Pelodiscus sinensis: one gene and its partners. The protein of the gene in region 2 interacts with the protein of the main gene of each other region in a pairwise test. Links are inferred from orthologs where the notes say so. Each region holds a gene or a part of one and is shown on either strand. Other genes may lie near its edges.

Region 1 (7,894 bases), on a different chromosome or scaffold from region 2:
ATGCCTGGGAGGGGGGCAGGCAGGGGGTACTACGGGCCAGATGCCAGGGAGGGGGACAGCAGGGGGTACTGCGGGCCAGATGCCTGGGAGGGGGGCAGGCAGGGGGTACTGCGGGCCAGATGCCGTGGGGAGGGGGGCAGGCAGGGGGTACTCCGGGCCAAGTGAGCTGGGTGCACAGCCTGGTTCAAAGCTCTAGCTAATTGGTTGGCGCTGGTAACAATCCCGCCAATAGGGCCGGGCGCCTGAGGGCGGAACCGAGGGGCTGGGGGGGGGGGGGGGGCGCTCAGAGAGCCGAGGGCAGTGAGCCGGCCCCACGGCAGCCCCACAGCCCCTTTGCCAGCCCCCCCGGCACGTACCCTGCCGCTGCTCTTCCTCGTCACTGGCGAACAGGGAGGCCAGGCTGTCCTTCCGCCGCGGGGCCACCTCCTCCGGCTACGGGGACAGGGGAGCGGCTGGGGCAAGCAGGGGCGTGGCTGGGCTCCCCCACCACAGCCCTAAACCCAGGCCCGGCCCCTCCCTGCCCAGAGCTTTGGTCAGCCAAGGGGGGACCTGGCCACAGTGCCCCCTAGGGTCCTCCCCCCATTCCAGCGGGGGAGCAGCCCCACCTCTCCTGCCCCCCAGCCTAAGGGACTCCGGGCCTCACCTGCTCCTCCTTGGGGTCGTACTGCTTCAGCTGGTTCATGAACTCCAGATGTTTCTTCTCTTCCTCCAGCTGCGCCACCATCTCCTCGCTCTGCTGCAGCCGCCGCTGGGTCCCCGCCAGCTCCTCCCGCAGCCACAGGTTCTCCTGGCAGAGCTGCTTGGCCTGCGCCCGCAGCTTCTGCTTCTCGGCCTCCAGCGCCCCGAGGTGGGACGCCAGCGCCACCAGCATCTGGCCAGGGCAGGGCCGGGCTCAGCAGGGAAACCTCCTCCCCTGCCAGGCCGGCCCCCTGAAGCTGCTGTAGCCAGGTGCTCCCCACCCCCAGTCGCTGCCCCCACAGCGCCTCCTGCTGGGAGAGCCAGGAGCTCCCCCCAGCCAGTGCCCCTGCCCTGCTCCCCACAGCGCCCCCTGCTGGGAGAGCCAGGAGCTCCCCCCCAGCCAGTGCCCCTGCCCTGCTCCCCACAGCGCCCCCTGCTGGGAGAGCCAGGAGCTCCCCCCCAGCCAGTGCCCCTGCCCTGCTCCCCACAGCGGCCTCTGCTGGGAGAGCCAGGAGCTCCCCCCCAGCCAGTGCCCCTGCCCTGCTCCCCACAGCGCCCCCTGCTGGGAGAGCCAGGAGCTCCCCCCCAGCCAGTGCCCCTGCCCTGCTCCCCACAGCGCCTCCTGCTGGGAGAGCCAGGAGCTCCCCCCCAGCCAGTGCCCCTGCCCTGCTCCCCACAGCGGCCCCTGCTGGGAGAGCCAGGAGCTCCCCCCCAGCCAGTGCCCCTGCCCTGCTCCCCACAGCGCCCCCTGCTGGGAGAGCCAGGAGCTCCCCCCCCAGCCAGTGCCCCTGCCCTGCTCCCCACAGCGCCCCCTGCTGGGAGAGCCAGGAGCTCCCCCCCAAGCCAGTGCCCCTGCCCTGCTCCCCACAGCGCCCCCTGCTGGGAGAGCCAGGAGCTCCCCCCCAGCCAGTGCCCCTGCCCTGCTCCCCACAGTGCCCTCTGCTGGGAGAGGCTGGGGCTGCAGCAGCCAGAAGCTCTTCCCCCTCCCCCAGCCAGCGCCCCCTGCTGGGAAGTGGGGCTAAAGCAGCTGGGACTCCCCCCAGCACCCCCTACTGGGACAGGCTGGGGCTGCAGGAGCTCCCCCCAGCCAGTGCCCCTGCCCTGCTCCCCACAGCGCCCCCTACTGGGAAAGGTGGGGCTGCAACAACCAGGGGCTCCCCGCCCCGGCTCCTGGAGCCAGCCGCCTTTCTACTGCCCTGGGGTGCTGGCCCAGCCCCGCCGGTACCTTTGCCTCGCCCAGCCCCAGCTCGATCCCCTCCAGCGACTTGCGGACCAGGTCGTACTTCTCCTCCAGGAGCTCCAGCACCTGGGGCCCCTCCGGCCCGGGGCCCTGAAGCAGGGCCGCCTCCAGCCGCCGCGCGATGCCCCGGTTCTCGCTCCGCAGCGCCTCCAGCCCCTTCAGCACCTGGCGCGTGCCAGCGACGATGTCATCGGCCGTCATCCTCGCCGGCTGGCTCTCGCCGGCCTCCGCCACCACGGACATGGCACGGCCGAGCCTGCGGGGAGCGGGCACCCTGAGCACGGCCGTTCCCCCGCCAGGGCGGTCCCTGCGCCCCTCTCCCTCCCAGCTCCCTGGAGCCAGGCCCGGCGCCCTTCTGCCCCTGGAGTGGGCAGGGGCCCTGCCCGAAAGGGGGCGCTCAGGGTGGGACAGGACGTGAGCTTTGATCCTTCCAAGGGTGGGATGCGGGGCTGAGTGGGGCTGGCAGGGAACGTGTAGCGCAGACGGGCGGGACGGGGCGCCCCAAGGCAGAGTCCACACAGGGGAGGAAGGGCCCCAGTCTGGGTGCCAGCTGGATGCTGCGTTCCCTCCCTTCCCGGAGAACCAGTCACACCAGCCTCGCACGGAGCAAGGGCACCTGGTGTGGCACAGAACCAAATTTGCCCAGGCGGGGCACACGCGGGAGCAACACGCCCCACCCGTGCACAAGCCCAAATGCACAAGGCACCGGGCACTCCCAGCCCGCACGTACCCAAACAGGGCACCCACAGCCTGGTGCGCACGGGCAGGGGAGCGCCAGCGGGACAGGCCCGGCACCCCCCTTCCCAGGTGTGCACACGCACGTACAAAAGTGCAACACGCAGCCTATGGCCCACCAGCAGGGCACGCGCGCGGCCCGTGCGCACACACGAACCGTGCACACGCAGGGTGCGCACACGGGGTTCCCGCGCGCAAACGCGCACCAGCCCCGGCAGGGCGCACGGACGCGCGTGGGGCTGCCCGCCCCGGGGAGCCCCCAACCCCGCCGGGACCCACCTGCCGGCCGGAACCTCCGACGTCTGCGCCGCGCCCGCCCGCCCCTGGCTCCGCGCTCACCTGCCGCTGCCATGGGCGGCACCCACAATGCACCGGGCTCCGCCCCCCCCCGGGCGGGGCCAGCTGGGGTGGGGTCGCCTGTGCTGCTCACCGTGGCGGCCCCCCCTGCAGAGCGCCCGGCCTCCTCCGCCCCCGAGCGTTAGCCCGGGGCCGTAACCACTAGGCCCCCCTTCCCCCGGAGCAGCCTTTGCTCTCCCTGCGGTGGTCGGGGGCCCACGAGGAGCTGCTGTGAGCTCGTGGGGCCCCGGCATGGCCCTGGGGCCGGCCACATCCTGCCATCGTGCGATCTAGCCCCCCCTCTCCTGGGGGCCACAGCGCAGAGGCTGGCCAGGGCCCTATGGGTCGGGGGTGGGGCAGGGACTAGCCCCAGGGCTGTGCCCTCTGCCCATGGTGGGGGGGGGGCTGGGAGCCGGGTTCTTGTGCCAGCTCCGTCCTGCCAGACTGCAGAGAGGCCTAGAGGGGCCCAAACGGAACAGGCCTGGGCCCGCCTGGGTGCCAGCCCCCGGCCACCTGCATCTAGCTCAGCCCCAATCCGGTGACACCCTCCCCCACCCCATGCTCCTCCAGCTCTCTGGCCAAGCCCCTTCTGGGGGGGCTGCTTCCTTTGCACGGCCAGACCATGCCCTTCACCGGGGCCTCTGGCCATGGGACGGCTTCTCCGGGACTCCCCTGAAAGGCAGAGGCTGCTGCTGGAGATGAGAAGTGGAGGAGTGGGAGGGAGAAATTGGGGGAGAGGGGATGGGGATGATGGGGGAAGGGAGCATCCGTCCGGCTACCACCAGCCCCCAGCTCAGTGCCAGTCCCGTGCCGGCCATTCCCAACCTCCGTCCGACCGATGCAGGAGAGTCGGCAGCCCCTTTCCCCCACAGCTTCAGCCTCCCGTGTGCCGTGGCGAGGGCCGGTGTGGGGCTGTGTAGGGCATCTCACCTGCAAACTGCAGCACTGTGGGTACCTACAGGGGTATCTCGGCGGTGCTGGCACACCAGGGCCTGTGGCCTGCTTTTTGGTTTGCAAGGCAATTGTCTTTGTGACTACCCCAAAAGCAGAGCTCGGGCTGTTTCTCTGCTTCCCCGACGGGAATGAGGGGGCTGGAGCCCTTCTGTGGGTACCAGGCCTCTTGTATTCCCTGCAGACGCCCAGGCCCTGCCGGCTGCTGGCCAACCCTTTGCCACCCACACCAAGGTGAAAGCAAGCAGGGGAAAGAGCTGGCAGGCTCCTGGATTGCCATAGGGTAGCACTGGTAAATGTCATGTGTCTGTCATGTGTCTGTCACTCTGCACTAGTTAGGCCTCAGCTGGAGTACTGTGTCCAGTTCTGGGCGCCACATTTCAAGAAAGATGTGGAGAAATTGGAAAGGGTACAGAGAAGAGCGACAAGAATGATTAAAGGTTTAGAGAACATGACCTGTGAAGCCAGGCTTCATGAACTGGGCTTGTTTAGTTTGGAAAAATGAAGATTAAGGGGGGACATGATAGCGGTTTTCAAATATCTAAAAGGGTGTCACAAGGAGGAAGGAGAAAATTTGTTCCTCTTGGTTTCTGAGGACAGGACAAGGAGTAATGGGCTTAAAGTGCAGCAGGGGAGGTTTAGATTGGACATTGGGTAAAAATTCCTAACTGTCAGGGTGGTCAAATGTTGGAATAAATTGCCAAGGGAGGTGGTGGAATCTCCCTCTCTGGAGATATTTAAGAACAGGTTAGATAGACATCTGTCAGGGATGGTGTAGACGGAGCTTGGTCCTGCCTTGAGGGCGGGGGGCTGGACTCGATGACCTCTCGAGGTCCCTTCCAGTCCTATTATTCTATGATTCTACGACTACCTGACCGACAGGTGTCTGTTCATTGGGGGCGAAGGGAGTGAACCCTGCCAGAAGGTCAGGAGGGAGCTGGGGTGCCCTTTTTGGATGCCTTTCCTAAACTGGGTGTTTCCGCTACAATGATCAGAAGCGAAACGGTTGTCCAGATAAATCTTGAAACTAGCCACGGAGGCGCGTGCCTGACCGGGCAAAGCCGTTCTGCGTCAATTACGCTGACAGGTAAGTTCAAGCAGTGAAATAGACGCCCTAGAATTTTTTATTCACGTGCTCGCCAAAGGGGAGTAAAAGAACCGCTTCCAACTTGTAGGATTTTGCCTTCAAACATCATTCGTTTTGGGGACTAATGACCCAGACGTGGTACAGCTGAATCCGAAAGACGGAAAGCTGCCGTTCCGTTCCGTAACCGAATGATTTGGGGATTCATAACTGTACACATGTTCCTTGCATGGCAATGGCAGCTGAAGGGGGGAAGCCATGTTCATGTTGCGAGCAAATCTTTTTCGCAAACTCTCATCGGCGTTGTCGGGACTTTTTTTCCCGGTGAAACACAAAGCTCACGATTTAAACCTTTCGCCCAGCGTATGCCGGTGTCAAAAGAGGCGCATTCCGCTCATTTCAGTGGCCGGATTGTTAGTGCGAAATGGGGAGTCTGGGGCCAATCAGGAAGTAGGACTTTATTTTGCACAAACCCACAGCCATCAATATAGAATCAATGTGTCATTTGGCTTCGCTGCACGCGTGCGAGAGGGCAGCATTGAAAGGGTTAACGCGTTCCTGCTCTGCCAATAAGCCTCGCGCTAGGGATGTAACATTTTGATTAATTGGCTAATCGAATAGTCGATGCAATTTACATCCCAGGGCTGTTGCTACACTTCAAAGCCGCAGCACCACATGGAGCCCAGGGTCAGCAGGGGAGACCCCAGCTGACCCTGGCTCCACGCGGCACTGCCACTTTGAAGCACCCCTTGTGACGGTGCGTTGGGGTCCCCCGTCTCCTGCACCCCGAAATGGCACAAACAGACTGCACCAGCCGGTGGAATAGAGGAAGTTTATTGCCTCTCCAGGATACAGCACAGCACAGATGTAGTCTGGTCACAGAGCTGGGCTAGGATGCCTCAGGCTCCCTTGAGTTGGGGGGAGACTGGGCCCCTAAACTCCAGCTCCTCTCCCTAGGCTGTCTCCTCCATGCTCCCAGACAGCCACCAACTCACTAACCAACTTCCAGCCCTGCCCCCCAGCCAGGGCAGCATTCCCCCTTCCTTTGTTCCTCTCCATGGGGGGTGTCTGGCCACTGGTTTGCATAGTGACTCATCCTGTTTTGCTGGGTCGTGGTACCCACGGCAGCCAGTGGGGGTTACCCCAGAGCCAGCAGCATAGAAACCAGCCAGGTACCCCCACTACGTCACACCCCTACCTCTTCCCCCCACTGGCTGCCTCTTTCTGATAGAGCATAGGTTCCCAAACTGGGGGGTGCACCCCCTGGGGGGGCATGAAAACATTCCAGGGGTGGGGGTGCAAGGCGACCGAACCCTCCCCCATCAATTTCCCCCCAAGAAAGAGCCCGATCCCTCCCGTAAAAAAAATCAGGGGAGGATGGAATGTCCCAGGTAGACTTCAAAATGGTCACCTTAAAAGGGCAAAGCCTGCTCTGCTCTTAAAAGGGCAACTTTTTTTTTTTTTTGCTCAACAAGTTTTGCTGCTATTTTTTGGGGGGGCCGTGAGGGTTTCTCAAAAATCAAAAAGGGGATGTGATGCTGAGAAGTTTAGGCACCACTGTGACAGGGAGCAATTAGGCGGCGAGTCGTTCACATCCCTGCCCCGCACCAAAAGGGATTTCAGTAACGGCGCTATGACTCACAGGTACTCAGCACCCCTGCAAATCGTACAGTGACTCAGATATGGATTTAGTTGCCTTATGCACCCAGATTTGAAAAATCAAGTCTCTTTTTTTTTTAAATGAAAAGCTCAAGGCCTCCTGGAATGATGCGCGACAGGTATAAACCAAAAAAACCCACCAACAACAAATGGTCTGGTAGCACTTTATAGACTAACAAAACATGTAGATGGGATCATGAGCTTTCGTGGGCACAATCCACTTCTTCAGATGACCGGAGTTATGAGTTTAGGATGTGTACACCCAAAATAAATAGGAGAGGGGAAGGGGAGAGGGGCGGGAAGAAAAAGGGAGGGGTAGGAGACAGCAAGCAGAGGGAATCGTCAGAATAAGTATCAGAAGATTAGCTAGTTAAACTGAAGCAGCTAAGAATCAAAGTCAATAGATAGACTCCCATGTCAGGAAGGATGCTACACCGAGAGCTGCTAAATTGGTCGTGTCCTAACCAACTTTCATCACCATCCAGTCCCTTAGCATGTGAACTGACTTTGCGGATGAACTCTAATTCTAATGCTGCCCTGTGGATCTGGCTTGTAGACCTGGTTTGTGACAAGACAGCTACTTGGGGCTCTTTTAAAGCAGCGGTTCCCAAAACTTTTGGCATCACGCCCCCTTTCTGATTGTTGAGAAACTCCCCCCCCCCCCCCATAGCAACAAAACTTGTTGAGCAAAAACAAAAAAGAAAGAAAAGAAAAGAAACTAATGGGAAGCTGAAAAACAAAAATAGCAGCAAAACTTGGGGGGGGGGTGATTGATGAGGGGGGACCTGGGCTGCCTTGTGTCCCCCCCTGGAATTTCTTTATACCCTCCTGGGGGGCACCACTCCCAGTTTGGGAACCCATGTTTTAAAGCGTGATGTTGAAGACTGAAGTGTTCCCCAATAGGTTTCTGTATATTTCCTTTACATATTTCTGCTTGGTGCCCATTGATTCGTTCCCACAGAGACCGCCCAGTTTGTCCGATATCTATAGCAGTGGGGCACTGCTGGCATTTGATGGCACAGATCAAATTTCTGGCTGTGCAGTCAAATGACCTTTCGATTCGGTAGCTGATGTTGTTGGCTCCAGTGATGAATTCGCTAGTCTAGATATGTAGGCAGAGCTGGCATCGTGTTTGGCTGCAGGGCTGGGTCCCTGGAGGCTTATGATGTGGTTTTGTGGCATGGTTATCAGAAAGAACTCGTTTCAGGTCT
Region 2 (7,546 bases):
GTCAGTAAGTTCCAATTGGGCATGATAGCACAAACAGCAAATAGATAATGTTCAATGCAGAGAATATACACTTTTTAATCCACTAGTCAGATTTCAACCTTCTCTAAGAACCTTCTCTAAGGTATTTATTGGCTCCCACCATAAAATCAGCACCTAGCCACCTTCAGCATATTTTATCCTCAATAACCCTGCAAGATAATTAAGTATTGTTATACCTTGCACTCTGCCCACACAAAAATAAGTAGGGTGTATAAGTACACACAGGGAAGTGAGGTGCAGAGAAACGGAGGGCTAGATCCTGAGGTTACTGCAATATTTAACTCTTAAGTTATCTGCTGGACAGTAGACCCCTCAGCCCTGAATAAGGCGCTTTAGCTTCCCATAGAATGCAAAAGAGTTAAGCACTTAAAGGGATCCTTGTAAGTCAAGCTGAGTAGTGAGCCACTTAAGCTACTCAGCAGAAATACTGACACAAAGGGCAGGAGCTAAACCCAAACTCAAAGAAGCATACACACCCAACTCTAGACTGAAGGGGGCCTTAACCATTGTGCCATCATTCCCCTCTATCCATTACACATCAGCATCTTGAAAAGACACACTGACATGCAGTCCAGTAACCACCCCCAGTTACTCTGTCATGTTTCTATTTCTATTGAGTTTTTTGTTGGATGTTTAGCTAAAATGTTAATTTGTAAGAAATTCAGATTTCTCCAAGTTTGACTGTTGTCCACCCACCTATTCTAGAAAACAGGTCACTAATTCTAAATGAAAAAGTACCTTTTGTACCACTGAATCCATTTTAAACCTAAAATTTTTTCCATGAGCTCTTTTTCCTTAACACCTCAAATCCCCTCTCCATTGGTTAGATTTGTAGATGAAATATTTTGAAACATGAAAAACTTCAGACTATAGTTTGAGAAGTAACGCCTTGGATTAAGGATGTTAAATATCAGTTAATTGAACAGTCGAGTAACCTCATGACATTTTATCGGTTAGTCGACTAGTCTATAGTCCCGGGGGGGGGGGGCAGGGCCAGCAGCCACTGTATTAGAGGCAGCAGCACGGGGTGAGAGGTGTAAGCTGGTCTGCAAGGGGAGCTAGTTTAAAAACCAGCTGCCCTTGCTACCTGGCTTGCCTGTCACCTTGCGCTGCTGCTTTTAAGGAAGAAGCAGCACTACAGGGTGGCAGCAGTCCCTGTCTCGGGGAGGGGAAGCAGGGGGGAAAAGTGTCTGAGCTCCTTGACCCGGTGTGAGACAGGACTGAGCTGGGCTGCCTGACCATCCAGCTCCTAATACATTTTAAATGCAGAGCTGCAGTAGGGGTAGGTCTTGGACCTATCACAAGCCAGGACTGTGAGACAGGCTGCTAGCCAACCTGCTAAAAAATTTACTGGCAGGGAGAGGGAAATGCATGTAGTCTATAACGTTAACCTATAAGCTTTTGCTTATCGGTTAATCAGCTATACTATTACATCCCTATCTTGGAGAGAAGTTTGTTTGTTTTTTTGTTTTTGTTTTAAAAACACAACATATGTAAGTTTCTAGAACAAAACCAACAGGGTTAACCTTCGTCACACGTAGCACAGAATGCAATATAATAAAGTCTGTCAAGCACAGAATCCAAAAGAAAAAAAACTTAAATCTGAATTTCTTTCATCAATTTACTTTGTCAATTTTACATGCAATAATCTGGCACATAAGAGCAAGGATCCCTCTAATCTTTTCCATCCATGTGTTGAATAAATCTTTCTACTGCATGTGAAAATGTACACCACCAATATAAACAAAAACCTAGCTGTGGGCACTCTGATGAACAGCCAGACAGCATCTGAATCTATCTTGAGCAGCCATGCAAATGCACAGACTACAGGAACACACAGCACAAGAGCAAGAGTCACTAAAACTGATTCAGTCAGTTGTAAATTTTCCTCCTCTACACTTTTGCTCTGGAAGGGAGTCAGCCTGAGCAAGAGTATTTGAAAGACTTGCCACAAACTCTACTGGCCTGATCCAACTCCCATTAATCAGAAAACACACACACTTGCATTGATTCTGGACTAGCGTTTCTGGTAGCAGTACCCAATAATCTCAACAAGAAACCACCCACAGTTAAAACAAAGGCACAAACCTAAAAAAAGCCAATGATGGAAATATCAAGCCCCTCTCCCCCGAGCTCTTTTGGTGACAGCAAGGCTCAAGTCCTTTCATTCCCCACAAACCCAATGCTCAGAAGATGCGACGAGTGCCCCCAGAGTCATGGCTTGCGAGAAGCTACTGAGGGTGCTGGACGTCTGGGTGTCTCAGGCCAGGGGCAGTCTGCAAAGGAAAGGCCGCGTCCTTTCGGTACCCAACTCACCACCACGGATCTGGGCATGGCAGGTTTGAACACGGAGCAGAAATCCAGCAGTTTCTTCTCATAGTATTTGCAGATTGTCAGCTCCTCCCGGGTCTCCAGCAGCAGCGAGTCGTTCTGCCGAACCTGAGGACACGGGCAACGTCACCCGGGCGGGCTCGGCAGCTGCTTCGGGCCCCGCCGAAACGCCGGGGCTCGCCCCTACCCGCTGCCCGGCGCAGCTCTGCTGCCGCTGCCCCTCCCTTCGCAGCCAGCGGCAGCCGCGCCGAGTACTCGTGACACGCTGACAGCTGCCGCCGCGGGGATCCCCCGCGCCCGGCTCCAGCTAGGAGGTCCCCGGGACTGACCCTTCCTCCACACGCCGCCGCCGCCGCCGCCCCAGTCCCGAGCCTGGGCTCTGTCCGAGCGGGGCCGATCGGTACCTTTCCGTTGGCCACCGCTTTGCAGCGGAACTTGCGGTTGGCGTCGGCCCGGCAGCGGACCAGCTCCTCCTCGCTGCGGAAGGTCCAGTGCCGCCTCTGCGTGCTGCTGTGGTACATCCCGGCCAACCGACCGCTCCTCAACGGGCACCTGGATCGCGCGAGCGCACACAGCCCCGCGAGCGCACGCCACCAACGCACTAGAGCGCTTTCAAGCCCAGCCTCACACCCCACTGCGTAAACTAGCTCCGACATATCCCAGCATGCCTCGGGGCCCCATGTGTACTACGGATCCCAGCGTGCAGCGCGCCTCGGCTTCTCCCAACCAAGCTCCGTAGTGCAGCCCCGAGTAAACTACAATTCCCAGGATGGGCAGCGACAGACTTAACCGGCGTTCCGCGCTCTACCCAGAGGCAAGTGGCGTCTGCAAGCGGGTAGTAAGCGAGCAGTGCATGCTGGGAGTTATAGTCTCTAGCGCTGCAGGCTGGGTAAAGGTCGAGCACGTTAAAACTCCGGACTTGCGCTCAGAGCTGGAGACAAAGCAATGGTCAATACTGACTCTGGCCACAAGTTAGCACCTCAGTCCTTGGCGTTTCTTGTTGCAGTCCTGGTACCACCGTGCGGTCTTTAAAAAGGAGCAGATTTGGGGTATTTTTCAGCAATTTCTTTGAAACAAAGGCCCACTCCACTGTAACTGGCTAACCTGTAAGCAAGGCAAAGGTCATTCTGCAAAAGCAGCGCAGAGTCCTGTGGCACCTTATAGACTAACCGAAGTGTAGGAGCATAAGCTTTCGTGGGCAAAGACCCACTTAGTCAGATGCATGTTGTGGAAATTTCCAGAGGCAGGTATAAATATGCAGGCCAGAATCAGGCTGGAGATGAGGAGGTGGATCCAATCAAGGAGGATGAGGCCCACTTCTAGTGAATTCCAAGAATTCACACCTCCAGATCAGCTACTAGAAGTGGGCCTCATCCTCCTTGATTGGATCCACCTCCTCATCTCCAGCCTGATTCTGGCCTGCATATTTATACCTGCCTCTGGAAATTTCCACGACATGCATCTGACTAAGTGGGTCTTTGCCCACGAAAGCTTATGCTCCTACACTTCGGTTAGTCTATAAGGTGCCACAGGACTCCTCGCCGCTTTTGCAGATTCAGAATAACATGGCTACCCCTCTGATAAAGGTCATTCTGTGCATCTTTGGCATCCCGGGTAAGAAAGTAGGTCAGTGACTTTGGCCTCCTAGATGAATTTGAAGGCTCGGCCCATTTGCACATAGACTATAGTAGTACATGTAAGATGTACATAGATAAACCATGTACTTTTTTCAACAGAGCTTGGAATATGAATTTTTATGAAAAATTACCACAGACTTAATTTCAATCCCTAATATTTGTGTATGGACTCATTGCTGACCCATGCTCCTATGTATTCCTATGGATTCCCCACTCCATTACATAACCTAGCTATAGCCACCATTATTGTATTTTCTAATTTAAGCTATTCTCCATTTGTATTTAATTAAAGATTTATTCCTAAAACTGATTACTGTCCTAAGTATTCCAAAGGGTCATGTTATTATCACCACTCATGTTCAATTAAGCCAATAATAATTCTGGTGAATTTCAACTCTTTGTGAGGTTGTTCCTGCAGATTTCTATTTAAAGTGTTGTAAGACATTCTGGGCAATTGAGCCAAAATCTCTCATCACAAGCTGAACTATAGGGGGAAGAGGGAAGAGAAACAGGAACTGGGTTGTCATAGGGGTTTCTTTAACTATCTACTGTAGAAGCAAAAACACGCTCCTCTGTGTTTAGACAGCTAACAAACAGCTTTATTAATTAATAAAGCACAGCATGAGCCAAACGTGGTCACAGCAGAGCCAGACCCAGTAAGGCTGCTAATACAATCAATTCTAATATCTTTATACCCTTAGCCAAACAGTCTGACGTCAGGGCATCCAATTACAGAAATCCTCAATTAAATTTGGAAAAACCAAACCTTATCAACAAGATGGCGGACAGGTGCGAGGGAGTACATCTCCTGTCCCAACCAGCCTAATTAACACATACCAATAGCCCATCCTGTAGGCCTCTTCTCACGGGGTGACAGAAAGTTCACTCTGGTCTACGTGCTTGAGAGAAAAGCTGAAATGGTTTCTGATATACAAGATGGCTTCTAGCTAAACATGAAAATGGTTTCTACAGCTTCTACACTACTCTTAAGGGAGTTTGTATGTGTATATCTGTATAGTTATTGCAGGGTGGGCAAATTCCAGCCTGTGGTTCGGATCCAGTCTTTAGGGGTAGTTTCTGGCGTTTAATCCCTCACCTCCATGTTTACCTGTGCCACTGCCGGTATCGTAGGATCACATTGGCTGCAAACAGCGATTCACAGCCAACCAGCGCTATGATCCTCTGATACCTGCGGAAGCATAGGTAAACATGGAGGCGGTGACCCGGTAGGGACTAACCCCGCGGCCTGCTGTTTTTTTATTGTCCACCCCCGTTTTATAGACATACTTGCTGACAGGTATTTTGAAATAAGTTACCAAAATATATGAAACTGGCATGATTATTGTTGGTTCTTGGTTCGATAAAATGGCAGGAGTCCCAGAGGCTTAAGGCCAAATACCCAGTGAAAATACAGAATGATGGCAAAACAACAAGTTTTACTAAAGAAGGAGTGATTTATTAAGCTGAACAACTTCCTAATATTTACTTAACATTTACCTAATATAATGAACAACTACCTAATATTTACCATACAACAACTTTTAAGCCCTACCTAAGTTACAGCTAAGTCAAATATATACACACTTAAAAAAACTGTTTCTTTAACACTGACAATAGCAAGGGTTTCTTTAACACTGACAATAGCAAGGGTAAAAGTTACCACAGAGCAATATTTTTTCTAACCTGGCTCTTTTAAACAACTTAACAACAGTGGGGGTAAATTAAATACTTACAAACTCAGCAACAACAACACAAAGACACACAAGGAAACGGAGCATGCTCGAGATTGTACACCCCTTTTTAGACTTTTTAGATCGGTGGGTGGGAGGCGGCCTTTGGGTGATCAGTCCTAAGCCAGACTCAGATTCTGTCTTCCAATATCCCGGAGTCCTCCCAGAGCTAAGGGCAGAGAGGTTTTTATGTTCTTGCCTATTACCATATTTGGTGGTGTTTGTGCTCAGGGAGTGGCATGGGAGCAGTTTGGGTGTGGTGTGAGGCCCATATATGGTGTTGAGTGCTGGACTCTGACAAGCTCCATTTTATTGGTAGATAAGCCTTGTTGCTATCCATGTGAGGTGGTGAGGTTGCTGAGGTAGATCTGGCTATAGCTGAGGCCTGGCCAAGAGAACCCATACTTGACAATTATATAGTGATAAGTTGACAAATACCTTTTGGAGAATTTTGTAAAATATCGTGCACAGAATTTTTAATTTTTTGGTGCAGAATCCCCCAGGAGTAATGTAGGTACCAGTTGTCACCTAAAGAGAAAAAGATGACAGAACTCATATGGGAAACTGACACAAATCTAGTCTATTTAAAATATTAACTTTTGAAAGAGAGTTAAAGAAAATAAGAGATGTGAGAAAGAGAATAGACTAAAAAAAGAAAATGCTGTAAACCAGAAGAGCCAGATTCTAATATCCTTACTCATATTGGATAGCAACTGTACTCCATGAGTAGTTCAAAGGCACTTCTCATAGAGTGAAGTTCTATTCTGTGTAAGTAAAGAAATAGAATCTGGACAAGAGAAAGCAAATGGAAGAAGAGCAGGAAAAAAAAAAACAGGAGAGAAAGGCAAAATAGACTTTTTAATAAGCAAATTGTGTTTTAATATTTACTTGTTACTGATGGAACATTAATGTTTTCTTTTTGGCAGATGACACATTATCAGAGCATGATTTTTGAAAAATAGTTTGTGAAGTGATTTGTTTTTTTTTTTTTTAATTTCATGGAATAAAGTTATAGAAATCCTCTATAAATCTGAGTCACAGGGTAAACTGAGTCTTTTAAGGATATATCTACACACTACAGTAAAACTCCGATGGTCTGGCATCTGATGGTCCGGCACTCCTGATGGTCCGGCACCATCAGGAACCCAGAAGTGCTCCGGGCAGCTGGACCATTGGAGCTGCTCTGCCCCCAGCTTCCCCGATTCAGCCGCTGCTAAAACTGACCAGTGGATGAATCGGGGAAGCCGGGGCAGAGCAGCTGGGGCACTGCCGGGTTGGTCCCATAGCACTGCCCCCAGCTGTCCCCGATTCAGCCGCTGCTGAAACTGATCAGCGGCTGACTCCAGGAAGCCCGAGGCAAAGCTGCTCTGTCCCGGGCTTCCTGGAATCAGCCCCTGATCAGTTTCAGCAGCAGCTGACTTGGGGACACCTGGGACAGAGCAGCTGGGGTGCTGCCGGGTTGGTCCCACAGCACCAAGGGTTGGCGCTAGCAGACCAACCCGGCAGTGCCCCAGCTGCTCTGTCCCAGGCATCTGGATTCAGCCGCTGTTGAAACTGACCAGCGGCAGACTCCAGGAAGCCGGAGGCATCCCCCCCTCCCACCCCAGACCCCTCATAGCCCCCCCTTCCGATAGTCCAGCAAATCTGATAATCCGGCACCCCCTGGATCCTAAAGGTGCCGGGTTATCGGAAGTTTACTGTATTTTGGAGCCTGCAAAAATGAGCATCCCAATCCAGGTTAACACACTGAGGTTAGAGAGGTTCATGGTAGTGCCCTAAAAATAGTTGTGTATCAGCATTTTAAAGTTG
Region 3 (7,733 bases), on a different chromosome or scaffold from region 2:
AGGCCTTCTCCCGCAGCTCCCACCTGGCGCGGCACCAGCGCACCCATACTGGCGAGCGCCCCTACCCCTGCACCGACTGTGGAAAGCGCTTTGGGCTCAGCTCCGACCTGGCCACACATCGCCGCACCCACACAGGTGAAAAGCCGTTCCGCTGCACCGACTGTGGCAAGGCCTTCTCACGCAGCTCCCACCTAGTACAGCACCAGCGCACCCACACTGGGGAGCGTCCCTACCACTGCGCCCAGTGCGGCAAGAGTTTCTGCCACGGCTCCAACCTGCTGCAACACCAGCGGACGCACCGCGGTGAGCGCCCCTACCGGTGCCAGCAGTGTGGCAAGGCCTTCAGCCTCAGCTCCAATCTGATCCGCCACCAGCGCATCCACACTGGTGAGCGCCCCTATCGTTGCACCGACTGTGGACGCAGCTTTGTACTGAGTTCTGACCTCCTGCAGCACCACCGCGTGCACACAGGCGAGCGTCCCTATCAGTGTCCTGACTGCGGCAAGGCCTTCTCACGCGCCGCCCACCTGGCCCAGCACCGCCGCACCCACACAGGCGAGCGCCCCTACCACTGCCAGTACTGCGGCAAGAGCTTCAGCCACGGCTCCAACTTCATCAAGCACCAGAGCACCCACTTGCATGGCTGGCAGCCTTGCTGGCCTCTCACAGAAGGTGGGGAAGGCCCCCAAGATGGCGGGGCCAGCAAGGAGGTGGAGAGGCAGGCACAGCCTTAGCGCACAGCAGTGCTTGGAGCATGGGACCTACTACACACAAGAATCCATTATTGCCATCCTCCTAGCCAGATCACTTGGATGAAGTGAGAACCTATTAAACACCATGGAACCCTGCTCCGGATGCTGCCGGGAACCTATTAAATGTTGCGGACCCTACTGCTGCTTTAAGAGCCACATCACAACCCACAATGTATTGTACATCAGACTATGCTGCAATAGGGTTCATAACCACCCAGCCTATCAAGCATCCAGCAACTCAACCCTGGCTCCAGCACAGTCCTTTGGGCTTGTTTAAGTTGGCCTGGTTTAGAAGCAAGTTTTTTGGGCCTGGTGCAAACATGATCTCAGCGACCTGCAGGTGAGAGCAGCCAAGCCATAGTTTGATCCTTGCTGTCAGATGAATGCAGCTCCCATCTATGCCAAAGTGCTTAGTACTTAGAGTGGAGGGCTCAGATCTCTCAAAGGCTGAGCGATTCAGCAGGCAGAAGCCAACCTGAGCCAAGTCAAACTAGCAATGAAGGGCAAATGTGTGCCAGGAGGGGGGATTCCAAAGCAGGGCAGCTCCTTCGGGGCTGGGGGGAGGAATGCTCAATCTCTGGGGGGGCACAACATCCAGGCCATGTGTCTCTGAAAGCTGTGTTCTAGCTCCAGGGTGAGCTCATGTGATACAGGGAGGCAGGTTGGGAGATGAATACTGTTCCTTCTCTCCTGTTAGCTGTAGTGGCATTCCCACATGTGCCCAGCTGTAGAGGGAGGCTCTTGTGAGCAAAGGCCTTAGAAGCTGGATCTGGGCCCTTCTTTTTGCAGTAACCCACCTCTACCCAGCAGTCTCATTTCCTCCCCTTCTGCCAGAGTTCAGCATGGCTCACACTCAAATGAGAAGCTGACCAGCAAACCCAAAGGATGTGCACGGGTGGGGGACGTGCTCCCAGAAAATCCAGCCAGCCAGGTGCCTCCAGATGAGATGCTACTAACCTCTCCTCCACCTGGCAGCATGCCCAGCCTGTGGCAGCTCTATAGAAGGCTGCCAGTTTGGAAGTACACTGATAGCTGGGCTGGAAAGAGGCATCTTGGATGAGGTTCTGTGGTCTGTGCTATGTGCAGGATAGACAGGTGAGTGCTGTACTCCACTGGTTCTCAGATGTCTGTGTTTGTGACCCCTTTCACCCAGCAAGCCTCTGTGTGAGACCTCCCCTTATACATTCAAAATACTTTATAAAAACACCATTATAAATGCTGGAGGCAAAGTGGGGTTTGAGGTGGAGATTAGCAGCTCTACCCCCATGTAGTAACCTCATGATTCCTGAGGGGTCTCAACCCACCCCCCATTTGAGATCCATAATCTCTTCTGGTCTTGGACTGTACACTCTTGTCCTAGTCCGTCCTTTACCCAGTCTGTGCTGCTTCCAGCCTTCCTGGTTACTATCACTTGCCCAGGTCTCTCTCTTGCCAGTACTCTAGCTTCTTTGGGTGATAAAGAAACCCCCCATTTCTGCTTTATAGCACTTTTAGGGAGTGATCCGTAGTTTGTCATGGGCTACGTTCTCGCTGAGTGATTTCTCTGAGAGCCACTGCCCTTGTCAGTCTAGTCTTCAAGACACACAGTGCAAAGAGACAGGTGACACTCATAGGCTGTGTTCTTCCAGTCTGATCTGGGAGGCGATTGAATCTGCCCCCCTTTGGAGGTGCTCTCCTCAGAGGCTGTTGCTGTTTCCTAAAGGCATTCTGCAGGGTGGGCTTGGGGCTGGACTTGACCAGAATGAGCAGGTTCTGGGCTGTCCCTCAGTGAGAACGTGGGAAAGCATAGCAGCCAGCTAGCTCAAAACCTCATGTTTAAGTCAGCAATGGCAAGGCAAAGAGGTGACTTGGTACCCGTCTGTTAGTCCCGGCCTACAGGGAGAAGTTTCTGACAGGCAGTGACATGGGCCCAGCAAGGCTGGGAACTGTTGCCACACAAATTAACACTGGCACTAAGGGGCAAGAATTTCCCAGGGGAGGGATTCCCCCAGTGGAAGAAGTGACCTGCAGAGTGGGAGGGAAGATTCTCCATTGGTTGGAGTCCTTCGGTCCAAAATGAGCTGTCTGCAGAAGCTACTAGGTGAGTGCTATGCAGGAGGTGGAATTAGACTATCCTAAAATAGTCTTAGAATGGAAATGTGCCTCACTGCCTGTAGTGCAGTGGTGGGCAACTTGTGGCCTATCAGGGTTCTATGTATGGCCTGCAAGACATTTTGTTTACTGTTGCCTGTGTGCAGGGTTGCCAGATTCTGCTGGTTTCCATCCACATTATTTTTTCCTACCAGTATTACTAAAGTGAAACACACACAAAGCAAAGGCACGTGAAGCAATGTGCATGCTGATTGCTCATACTATTGACTGCAAGAGCCATGCACGCCCTCTGCATCCAATCAAAGTGCTGCTATAGTTCATTTGGCAAACTCTGCAAATTCTAGGTATGCAAGTGCAGTTAGCAAAACAATTCTATCCCAGGAGACTGTCTTGGTTACAACAATCTTGCAGACCACTGAGATGGAGGGCAACTCATGCAGCCCATGCACTTGCCTAGTTTGCCCACCACTGCTATAGTGGCTTTGAAAACCTCAAGGCCAGTTCAGGCAAGCAAGCAGTGTGGAAGAGCTGTCCAGTACTGCTGCAGTGGGCTAATATGCTGCCAACCATACTGGCTTCATTATGCTTTTGTTACCAAGATGCATTGTGAAGACATGACAGTCCAAAACAGTGTGGCAATTCCCTCTAGGAACCAGCTAAACTGGTCAGTCATTCAAGGAGGATAAGGACACTGCTGAGATATACATGATCTTGTGGGATGATAAAGTCAGTAAGGCATCCAAGAGTTCATAAGAAAGAAGCTGCTGAGATTTTTGGGAGCACCTACTTATAAGCAACAAATGATGTGCCTCCTTAGAAAATCCTGGAAGTTTTATTTCATTCCTTGCTAAACTGTTTGGAAGAAACACAGTACTGGAAGCCATCAACAATGGGGGTAGGAAGAGCTCTGACTGATGAGGGAAAGTCAGGCTGTGCTGGTGCATTAGACTTTGTGGAAAACAGCTCCAAACTAAATGTCAGCGAAAGAGAATCCAGTCCTATCATTCATCTGAATTCACAAAAGTCTGTGGCAGAGTCTCTCCCGAGAGCAAGGAAACTAGAAAGGAGGCGAGAGAGATAAAGGCTTGACATCTACCAGAAATGTCCTAAGAGACAGGAACTAATGGGTAGCCTTAAATAAATGGTCTCCTTTCATTAACATTCCAGTCATGCAAATCATCCCAGCTGATTTCAGTAATACCTACTAGGGCACATTATTACTCATCAATGAGCAACTGCACTTCATTTTGTTTATTATGCAGGCTCATAGCATCAGTGTAGAGGCAATTAAATAATTGCTTTTCTTTGGGTCCCTTGTCTTGCTTCAGTTCCTTCTCACTAAATGATCACCACTCTCTCGCTCCTTGTCATACAACTGATTACAAACAAGCTGATACAAACACTGAGGGGGAGTACAACTCTGTATAGCCAACTCTGACTGAAGCTATTCCAGAAGATTATTTTCCCCTGACATGGCATCATCTCAGTTTCTTGCAATATTCTATTAAAAGCTCCTGGATTGCTGTCAGTAGTCACCTTGAAATTGAGGCCAATTCACGAAGGCTCCAGGCTAATTCTGGAGAGTTGGCAACTAAAACGGGGAGCCAGCCTAGCTCCTGCAGGGTTGAGTGCTCCCTGCAGTGTGGTGTCCTGTGGGGGTGCCCTCTGGCTGTGGAGATAGAGCTGTTGGAGGGCAGTGACCGAGCCCAGCTGTAGGTGGTGGGACTGGAGGGCGGGGGGGGGTCCCAGCAGGCTGGATGCTGCAGGTGGAACCTAGGCGTCCTGGCTCCCGTTGGTCTTGGGCTGGGGGCTGGAACTGGCCTTTCCCCGGCCTGCAGGCCGGCGGTGGGAAGGGAGGACCGCGGTCGCTTCAGGCCGGGACCAGTCTCCCGCCGCGGAGGTGGGAGCGGAGCAGGGCTCCCTCCGGTTGGAACGCGCGGTCTCCAGGCCGGGAGGGTGGGAACAGGAAGTGCGCGGAACGCTAGAGCTGCTCCTTGCTCGGGGTTGGCACTTCCTGTCCAGTTTTCGTGAAACGTCACTTCCGTCACTACATTGAGTCTGGGTACCCTGCGTGAAGGTACTTCCGGCCAAAGCAGGAAGGGGCTGGGACTGAAGCGGCGCAGCAGCGAGGGAGTCCCAAGCGGCATGGCCCTGAACGCGACAGGTACCGCCTGGGGGCGGGGCAGGGGTAGGAGCTGCCTGGGGCAGCCGGAGGGGCGGGTGTGGCTGGGGGCGTAGGGCTGAGGGAGGGGAGCTGGGTCCGTGGGACTCCCCCAGCAGAGCCAGGGCTGGGGGCATCTGGCAGTAGAGGGGGGCAGCCCCATGTTACGGCTTCAGCCCAGCTCAGCCTCTCCTGGGCACAGCGGCACCGCTCTAGGCAGGCATAGCGCTGCGCGAGCGATTCAATAGAAACCCCCTGCACCCGTCGCTGAAGTGGCTCCCTCTCGGGGCCGGGCGCAGGGTCACTACACTGACAGCTTGCAAGGACTGCTGTGCGATGGCTCTGCCAACTTCCTGTATCCTCCCTCAGGCAACGATGATGGGAACTGGGAGCCACCTTCAGAGGCAGAGCTGAAGGTGATCCAGGCACGGAGAGAGCGACAGGATAAGATCAGCAGGGTGATGGGCGACTACCTGCTCAAGGGATACCGCATGCTGGGGGAGTGCTGCGAAGAGTGTGGGGTATGACCTGGGGCCCGTGCGGGGAGCCCAATAGAGGGCACTGTGCTCCATGCAGGAGCAGAGGGCGGTGGGGGTCCCCCAGCTATCCATCATTAGTTGTGCAGGTAGTGTTCATGGCCAGCTGCATCTCTTCTAACCTGGACTGATGCCTGAGTGTACTGGGACCTTATAGGGAGCAGGCTGGGCCAGACCTGTCATGTGCATGGGCCTGTGGGTCTGATCCAGGGGGGATACTGGTTTGGATGGGCCCATTGGTCTGCTCTAGCAGCCAGGGGGGCTGGATACTAATCTAAGTGGGCCTGTGCATCTGACTGGGAGAAAGGGAGGCATAGTGAGCTGAATGGATCTCAATGCCCTGCTCAGTGGTTCTGGAATGGGAGCTTCCATCACCCAGGAAGAGTTCCCTCCACTCCCAGTATGAGATCCTCCCCTTCCCATGTTACCTATTCCACCCATCCATATACATTGTGTTCCCCTGTAGAGCAGCATAGGCTGCTGGGAAAGCTGCTCCACTTCAGGGTCATGAATTCTAGTCCCTTCCATGCAACAGGGCTCCCAGCCTTCTGAGAGAGAATTATTGGATTCACCTCCTCCCTTTGCTCCCTCTCCCTCATTAGAAGCCTAGGGGTAATTCTAGTCTGCCTCTGCATTAGAGATAGAGAGCAGCTTTGGTGTCACTGCTTCCCCCAAGTTGGGCCAATCCTCTCTCTTATTGTTATGCCCTGAAGTCCCACACTAGTCTGTCTCCCCTTTGCAGACCATCTTGCTCCAAGACAAGCAGAGGAAACTTTACTGTGTGGCCTGCCAGGAGCTCAACTCTGACATCGATAAGGACAACCCAGGTATGGCCCTTCCCAGCATCATGCTGTCTGCCAGGGAGGGGTTGGAGTGACTTGGGAATTATGGGGGAACTAGCTGATTCAGAAGCCAGGGAATGAGACATTGGTAAAACGGAAAGCATGTCACAGAAGTCTGTGACTTCAGCAACTTCTGCAGCTGGCACGTGCTATTGACCTGAGAGCCACCCCAGAAGCTCAGGCAGCACAAGGGCCATCTGTACTTCTCCCCCCCCCCCCCCACCCGATCCCGCTGCAACAGTAGCAGTCCCAGGACACCCTCCCCCGGTAGCTGTGGCAGTGCTAGGCCATCCCCTGCCTGCACCAGTGGGTGCACCAGAAGCCACCTTTAGATCTCCCACTACAAGCACCAGCAGGTGTCCTTGAGCCATCCTAGCATCAGTGGGCACCTCGAGCTCCCATCCAGAACATACAAGATAAGTCATGGACAGGTCACAGGGCCATGAATCTTTGTTTATTGCCCATGATATATCCATGGTTTTTTTATTAAAAATACTTATAACCAGGGCTCGACAAATTATACAATCTACTCGCCTATGGCGAGTAGATTGTAACCCGTAAGAGCCGGGTTTGGGCGATCTGCGCATGCACAGAACGATCTGCACACACACAGATCACTGGACAGCGCGGCTGGTGAGCGGGGCTCGCCACAGTTCGGCGAGCCCTGCCTATAACTAAATCTTAGCTTTAGACATAAGGCATTCCCTTCTCATCCACTCTTATCTAATTCTGGGCACTGCATAGAACCCACCTGGTATCTGGGCTCTGTAAAGCCAGGCACTGCACAGAGCCATAGAAAGAAAGACCCTGCCTGGAAAAGCTCATAGACTGAGCAGATCCAGGATGGAGAAGGAACAGGCACTGAGAGGGGAAGGGACTTGCTCAAGTTTAGTGGCAGCACTGGGAACAGATCCCAGGTGTTGTGGCTTGCCTGCCCTCCCTCACTTCAGCTGTGGACTGTGACTGCACCCCATTCTGCATCCTGCTGGCGCTGGAGGCAGCTCTGGTACTGGCAGATCTGATCTCATCTGTCCTCTCTCTTTCCAGCACTGAATGCCCAGGCTGCACTATCCCAGGTCCGTGAGCACCAGCTGGCCTCCACTGCAGAGGAGGCCACGCCCCTTGGGTACCTCCCAGCCACTCACCAGCAGCTCCATGTGCCACGACCAGAACATTGTGAGGGGGCAGCTTCAGGACTCCGAACTGCCGCCACTGCAGCTGCCATACCACAGGCCCAGCCTGCCCCAAAGCCTGCCCTGCCTGCCAGCCCCCTGGCTGCAGCGGAGGATGCCATCCTCCGGAAGCTCGTCTGGGCCACCCAGGAGCTCCAGCACAGCATCTCCATCGAGCT
Region 4 (7,224 bases), on a different chromosome or scaffold from region 2:
TGCACAAGAGCCTGTATACCTCATTTTTTGAGGAATAAGGGCTTGTGCACAAAAGGGTTTTTTCCCCCCCGACAAATGGCCCCGTCTACACAGGGCTTTTTATTGCAAAAACCTCTTCCGCAAAAAGGATCAGAAGAGGATATGCAAATGAGCACAAGATATGCAAATGAGCACTCAATTTGCATTCTCTGTTCCGCAAAAAATGCACAGTGTAGACATAGCCTCAGAGTGAGAGGAGGTGCTAGGATTTTTGAAGACAGGATTAGAAGAATTGGCCTGAAATCACATGATGAAATTCAATAAGACAAGTGCAAAATACTTAGGAAAAATTAAATGCAGGAATGAGGAATAACTGTGTTGGTGGTAATACTGCTGAAATGAATTGGTAGGTTATTGACAGGATCACAACCTGCATATGAGTCAATAACATGTTGCAGGTGAGAAAAAGTCTAATATTCTTCTATAGTATTAACAACAGTGTCTTCTTTTTACTATATATTTTAGAAAAGCTGTTAGTTCAAGAACTCCTTCTAAACGGTAAGAGCTAGGACCACCAATTTTGGTGTGCAGCTTCCTCTTATCATAACTTAAAGAAAAAGGTAAGGATTCGTTTGTGAAAAAACAATGGGAAGAGCCTGGAATTTGATTGTTTCTCATAAAATGGAACAAGAGGTGTCTAGTAGGAGGGAGCTATACCACGGACAGGGGCAACAAGGGGCCAGAGATGGGGACCGGGACAGCTATAACCCCATTGAGCCAGCAGGGTGGAAGGTGGCGAAAGGGACAGCTAGCTACTATATCAGGGGTCAGCAACCTTTCAGAGGTGAAGTGCTGAGATTTGACTTATTCACCTCTATGTACGGTCCGAGTGCTGGTGATACTTTTTTAAGTCATTGATAGTGCTACTTGTAGCAGTTTCATTAATAAAGAAAGATACAGATCTTACCTTTTAGTGCTGGGATTGGCAACCTTTCAGAAGCGGTGTATCAAAATTTAGCTTATTCACAGATCTGTGTGCCCGGGAGGGGGGGAGGCTGGGTACAGTGACTATATTTTCTGAACCAGTTGCAGCTAGGGAGAATGAAATTATGAAACAATTAAGCATTTTAACTTTCTCATATTAAGCTTATCAAACTTCATTTTAAATAAAGTAAAATATTATGTCCAACACAAAAGGTTTCTATGTTTTCTTTATTTATGGCGGGAGTGGGGAACCATTTTTGGGTCAGGGGTTACTGACCCACAGAAAAATCAGTTGGGGACCACACAAATGAGAAGCAAAAAAAAACCTCCTTCAAAACCCCCCAACCCTCACTGATGTGGCCCCCAACTGAGACACCTCACTGGCTAGTGCCCCAGCCTCACGGGGCGAGGGGAAGGGAAGGGATAGGGGGACTGAGATTCAGGGCTTCCCATAGACCAGATTTACTTTTCGGTGGTTCTGGAGTTAGTGGATTTTAGGGACCCCCTTAGACTCTGGGGTAAAGACAAAAATGAGAGGTACAGTGTATGAGACAGGGCTACCAGCAAGTAGGATAGGGATGGGTGCAGGATCTGGGAGGTAGGGTACAGAAGGTGGAGAGGTTGCAAGGTCTGAGTGGGAGGTAGGGTACAGAAGCAGGCTGGGAGTAGGGTGTCTGGCCAGGTGGAGGGAGCAGGAACAAGGGAGGGTGCAGCAGCAACGGTGGGTGCAGCAGCAACAGGGTGGGAGTGCCTGCCCAGGAGGGAGGGTGCAGGAACAAGGGAGGGAGTCGGAACAACTCAGGGGTACAGCGTTTTGAGGGGAGTGAGTGTGGGTGGGGTCTGGGCATGAGGGGACCCCTTACCCGGCTTTGCACCTCCGTGCAGCAATGGCTGTGGCCATACTATCCCAGGCCACTCCGAAGGAAGGCCCGGCTGTCACTGCCAGGGCCCATGTGGTGCAGGGCCAACCCCAGAGGCCCTATTGTTGTGGCCACATGGTCTGGGGCTGGCTCCAGAGACCCTGCTGCTGTGGCCACATGGTTTGGGGCCGGCCCCAGAGGCCGGAGGCGCTGCTTCCATACAATTCTGGATTGACCCTGGACCGCATGGCCACAACAGAAGCACCTCTGGTTCTGGCTGAGGGGCCACTGAGGAGCCTCAGCCCTGCTTCCTCCCACTGCAGCATAACCTGCTGCAGGCAGAAGGGAGTGTTCGCCAGTGGCTGTGCTGGGCTGGGGGAGGCTGAGCTTCCTCCTCTGTGCTGCTGCTGAAAATTGGCTTGCAAGCCATAAATGGCACACGTGCTGTAGGTTGCCGACCCCTGTACTATATCTATCTAATCTATCTATCTCATAGAGCTTGTCTGTGTTTCTATTTGTCTGTCCCCCAGCCAGTGGACATGGATCCATCCTCCAACTTTGTCTGCTGCAGCTGCAGGGGCCACGGACAAATGCTTCTCACTTGGCTGCAAGTTGCTGTGGTGACGGAGGGCTGGGATCGTCCTCTCTCCCCAGGGCAGCCAGCATACTGAACCCTTCATCCCCCAGCCCACTCCCAATAGCAATTTAAATGAAGAGCAAAACTCACTTAAGGACCCAAACAATGCTGGGTAAATCTTCTAGTATGTAAGATATGGAACATAAGTGTTCCACTGTATTTGGCACTGATGAGCAGGGATGATGTGTGAAGGGGGATAAGAGGATATGTGACCCTCAAAATATCCTGGACAGTAGGGGCAAGGGGCCAGTGCCTTTGATCAGCCTGGGAAACTAGCAAAGTTAGTACACCATCATTTAGGGCTAGGTGTTCCTTGCACGGTATCACGCATACACCACCTGCAGGCTGGTAATCAATCATACATTGGGTGTAATAAACTGATTAGCACTCAACTCTTTTTATGCCTTGATTTTTTAAAATAAGGGTTTTTATTTTATTTCTAAAAAGCTTAAGTATTAAGTAGATCTAGCCCTTATCAAACTCTGCCTCTACTACCCCTTAGGAAACAAAGGGCGGGCTCTCTTTTGATTAGAGTATCAGGCAGTGCTTTTGAGATCTCATGAGCCTTTTGTTATCTTAATCACCTTTGCCTCTTTATAAACAAACTCCCTGCAGCAAAGGCTGTGGCTGCTCTCACCTGCCTTTTAGAAGTCACACTCAGGGTTGCCAGGTGTCTGATTTTTAACTGGACAATCCAGTATTTGAGCTTTCTGTTCAGGAAACAAATTGGCTGTGTCTACACTGGGCCACTTATTCTGGAAAATCAGCCGCTTTTCCAGAATAAGCTGCGAGCTGTCTACACTGGCCCTTGAATTTCCGGAAAAGCAACGATGCTCTACTGTACAAAATCAGCCGCTATTCCGGAAAAACTATTCTGCTCCCGCTCGGGCATAAGTCCTTATTCCAGAACACTGTTCCGGAAAAGGGCCAGTGTAGACAGCCCAGTAGTCTTTTCTGGAAAAAAGCCCCGATCGCGAAAATGACGCTCGGGGCTCTTTTCCGGAAAAGCGCGTCTACATTGGCCACGGATGCTTTTCCGGAAAAAGGGCTTTTCCAGAAAAGCAGCCTGCCAATGTAGACGCTCCTTTTCCGGAAATACTTATAACGAAAACTATTCTGTTTTAAGCAGTTCCGGAAATTCATGCCAGTGTAGACACAGCCATTGAGAAAATATCCATGTCCGGTAGTTTCTAAATAAGATGTAAGGTAGATTGTGCCGTAATGTCAAGTGTGTCCGGTATTTCTGACTCTACCTGGCACCCGTAAGTGTTGCAGTTAAGGTCTCTCTGGGGGGTGGGGGGGAGGGACTAGGGGGAGCAGACCCGGGTTCGAAAGGCGGGGTACAGCGCCCCCTCCCTGGCTGGCGAAGCAACGTTTCTTTCCGCCCGAGGAGGGAGACCCGCACCTCCCCCTCCAGTCCCATTGAGCCCCCCCGCTTCCCCCAGCCTGGCGAAGCGGCCGTTGCCTCCCGCATCCGCCCGTTTGGCTACGCGGCGCAAGGCAGCAGCGGTTCCCGGTTGCTGACGAGCCGCTGCAGGGACAGCCGGGCCGCGCGCAGAAGCCCACGAGCCACTCGCGCAGCCCAGCCCCCTTCGCAGGCGTGTCCCGGCGCAAGTTCCCGAGCGGCCCCGGCCCGAGCGCCGCGAAGGGCCCCCAGGCGGCGGAGGAAGAGGAGGTGGGTGCTGCGGCTCTCTGGCCCCTGGGCACAGGCGCTTGTTGAAGGTGTCCTAGCAACAGCCCGGCCAATGGGAGCAGCGCCGTGCCGTGAGGGGGCGGGGCGATTAACCCTGCGGGGCCCGAGCAGGGCTGGACTGAGTGCGGCGGGGCTGCTGGGCTCGCTCGGGAGTCGACTGCCTCCCCCGCCCCCTCCACGGCGGCAGCAGCAGCAGGTGGTGCCATGCGGGTGAGTTGAGTCCGCGCCCGGCCCTGGGCTGCTCGAGTTGAGGCGTTGGGGCCTCTGCCTGGCGCCGTTCGCCTCGCTGAGCCGCCCGCCGCGCTAGGAGCCGCGGGGCTGCGAGCGGAGAACGGCGCTGGCGGGCGCACGCAGAGGGAGGGGGGACCCGGCACACACGGGCGGGGGGACTCGCGGGGGTGACTTCGATACACACGGGAGGAGACGTTTGGCCGGGGGGGGGGGGGACTTGCGCACAGGTGGGCGAGAGAATTGGGGGGGAACTTGAGCATACACGGGAGGACGGGGGTCGGGCACACTCGGAGGGGGAGTTGGCGGGGGGGACTCGCACACACGGGAGGGGGAGCTGGCGGGGGGGGACTCGCACACACACGGGAGGGGGAGCTGGCGGGGGGGGACTCGCGCACACACGGGAGGGGGAGCTGGCGGGGGGGGACTCGCGCACACACGGGAGGGGGAGCTGGCGGGGGGGGACTCGCGCACACACGGGAGGGGGAGCTGGCGGGGGGGGGACTCGCGCACACACGGGAGGGGGAGCTGGCGGGGGGGACTCGCGCACACACGGGAGGGGGAGCTGGCGGGGGGACTCGCGCACACACGGGAGGGGGAGCTGGCGGGGGGGACTCGCACACACACGGGAGGGGGAGCTGGCGGGGGGGACTCGCGCACACACGGGAGGGGGAGCTGGCGGGGGGGGACTCGCACACACACGGGAGGGGGAGCTGGCGCGGGGGGGACTCGCGCACACACACGGGAGGGGGAGCTGGCGGGGGGGGGACTCGCGCACACACGGGAGGGGGAACTGGTGGGGAGTAGGATGGAGGAATGTTTATGTAACTGCCATGGGTGTGTTACACTGACACACACCCAGGGGATGAGGTGATGGTGGGGGGGGGAGAGACTCTAACGCACACAGGGTGGAGTTGGGGAGGGACGGAAAGGGGAGACCCTAGCACATACCTGGGAGCAGTCAGAGGGGTGGAGGAATGTTTGTGCACGTGAGATGGGGGAAATGGGCATGGGGGGGGGACACTTGTGCATACCTGAGGGGGCAGTTGGTAGAGGGTCCATTTGCACAGACATGGGCACGGGTGCTGGAACAATGTATATATTGGGTGTGCTGAAAGCCAGTAACCAAACTGTAAACATATACATTGGAAAGCATTTCAAGCCAAGGGGTGTAAAAGCTTGCCTAGTTCCAGCACTTGTGCATACTGGAGGAACATGCAGTTGGGGTGGTGCTCTTACATGCACCTGCTGCTTGCCAGTTTTGGTTGGATGTATTCCTGGAGATTTCATCACATGACAATGTTTCATTAAAGATTTAATTCCTGGAGATTCCAGAACGCTCTTGGAGGAGCACATCCAGTATTCCCAGTGTTTTTTTCCCCATTCGTGTGTGGAATTAATGTTGCTCTATAGATGTGCACCACCATTAGCTACACATGCTGCTGGATGTGGACACTCTACTAATCAGTTGGGTGGCTCTGAATCTTTATTGGGTGGCCTTTTGGGGAACACTCTGCACATCATACACAAATGGCTGAGGGAATGCTTGTGCATATACTGGGGGAGGGGGAGGAATATCAGATGGCAGGGGTTAGGAGGACACAGAGAGAGAGAGAGAGAGCGCGAGCGGGAGTTGGAAGAAGCTCATGGGGATGCTTCTGTATGGGGGGAGGGTGGTATATAGCAAGGGGACACAGTCGTGTACCCACCGGTGATCGGGTTAGTAGATGGCAGGGGATGCTTGCACATTCACAGGGGGGAGTTGACAGACATTTGGGGTGATACACACTAAAGGGAGCAAATTGGCAGGCAGTAAGGGGAGGTGCTGAGGAGTTTGTGGGTGGTAGGAGGCACCCATGCATGCCCTAGGTGGAGCAAGGGAGTTTGAAGGTTGGGGGAGGTGCACATGTCCATGCTATGGGTGCAGTTTGTAGACAGTAGGAGAGTGGGAGGAACATGCATGTGCACATGGGGAGGAGGAATTTGCGGCAGGTGTGATTATGGGGAGATTGCAGGTTGTGGAGGCTTGGGAGGGATGAGCCTGCATACATTTGGGGGAAATTGCAGATGATTGTGATTGGGATGATGTTCACGTATACATACTGAGGGAGTTTGCAGAAGGTAGGTGCTGATGGAATTGCATACATATAGGAGAGATTGTAGGTAGTGAGGGTTAGAGATATGTGCCCGTGTACATTTGGGGGCAGGTGGTGGAAGCAGGGGAAAGTGGGTACATATATGGAAAAATTATAGATGGTGATGGGGACATGCATGCAAACAGCGAGATGTTTGCAATTGGTGCAGTTGCGCTTGTGCTCTTGGGGAATTTGCAGGTGGTTAGAGGGAGTTCATATGTGATGACAACTTGGGAGAAATGTGTGCATGGGGGAGGGGAATTTGCAGGCAGGAGGAATATGCCTACTCCTGCTGGGGCAGTGGGGATGCATGTGGAGTGAGGACACATGGAGAGAGTTTGCAGGCATTTGGGGGTTCATAGTCTGTGTAGGGGGAGGGTCCTTGTAAACTGTGTTCAAACGCAGTATTTTAATTACTTTGGGAATTAAGCTGTGTCTACACTTGAAAAAAATTGAGGCGTTAACCTCACCCCCTCTTTGCCCTGAAAGACACAAGTTTTTCTGGGACAAGTGTTCATGAGAATCTGCTAACACAGGGTGGTGGGACATGAGAACTGATCCACGCAAGTGAGAAGCAAGAAAAAAAGAAAAGCAATCCCCCTCCCCCCCCCCAAAAAAAAACCAAAACAAAGCAAAAAAAACCCGGCAACCCTCATTGACCTGGCCCATCTGGGAAGCAGGAAAAAATATACTCCCTTCACTCTTAGC

Evidence for each region.
Region 1: the proteins of CCNH (region 2) and KLC3 interact in binary tests that used the Homo sapiens proteins (3 or more experiments, as listed by UniProt). The two-hybrid records come from large-scale screens. The link is inferred for Pelodiscus sinensis from reciprocal best matches to the Homo sapiens genes CCNH and KLC3.
Region 3: the proteins of CCNH (region 2) and ZNRD2 interact in binary tests that used the Homo sapiens proteins (3 or more experiments, as listed by UniProt). The two-hybrid records come from large-scale screens. The link is inferred for Pelodiscus sinensis from reciprocal best matches to the Homo sapiens genes CCNH and ZNRD2.
Region 4: the proteins of CCNH (region 2) and SSX2IP interact in binary tests that used the Homo sapiens proteins (3 or more experiments, as listed by UniProt). The link is inferred for Pelodiscus sinensis from reciprocal best matches to the Homo sapiens genes CCNH and SSX2IP.

The regions. Positions count from the first base shown.
Region 1 is NW_027465849.1:7,073,612-7,081,505, reverse strand, and holds the start of KLC3 (kinesin light chain 3), read right to left. Parts: upstream 3,042-7,894; 5' UTR 2,933-3,041; intron 2,175-2,932; 5' UTR 2,162-2,174; coding exon 1,904-2,161; intron 872-1,903; coding exon 644-871; intron 433-643; coding exon 357-432; intron 1-356. UniProt on the Homo sapiens protein: Kinesin is a microtubule-associated force-producing protein that may play a role in organelle transport. Plays a role during spermiogenesis in the development of the sperm tail midpiece and in the normal function of spermatozoa.
Region 2 is NC_134716.1:76,318,305-76,325,850, reverse strand, and holds the start of CCNH (cyclin-H), read right to left. Parts: upstream 3,016-7,546; 5' UTR 2,892-3,015; coding exon 2,775-2,891; intron 2,479-2,774; coding exon 2,356-2,478; intron 1-2,355. UniProt on the Homo sapiens protein: Regulates CDK7, the catalytic subunit of the CDK-activating kinase (CAK) enzymatic complex. CAK activates the cyclin-associated kinases CDK1, CDK2, CDK4 and CDK6 by threonine phosphorylation.
Region 3 is NC_134721.1:36,059,217-36,066,949, reverse strand, and holds the start of ZNRD2 (protein ZNRD2), read left to right. Parts: upstream 1-4,642; 5' UTR 4,643-4,988; coding exon 4,989-5,007; intron 5,008-5,373; coding exon 5,374-5,525; intron 5,526-6,282; coding exon 6,283-6,367; intron 6,368-7,429; coding exon 7,430-7,733. Other genes in the region: coiled-coil domain-containing protein 87-like, read left to right, coding at 1-734. UniProt on the Homo sapiens protein: Might play a role in mitosis. Antigenic molecule. Could be a centromere-associated protein. May induce anti-centromere antibodies.
Region 4 is NC_134719.1:29,851,195-29,858,418, reverse strand, and holds the start of SSX2IP (afadin- and alpha-actinin-binding protein), read left to right. Parts: upstream 1-4,205; 5' UTR 4,206-4,363; intron 4,364-7,224. UniProt on the Homo sapiens protein: Belongs to an adhesion system, which plays a role in the organization of homotypic, interneuronal and heterotypic cell-cell adherens junctions (AJs).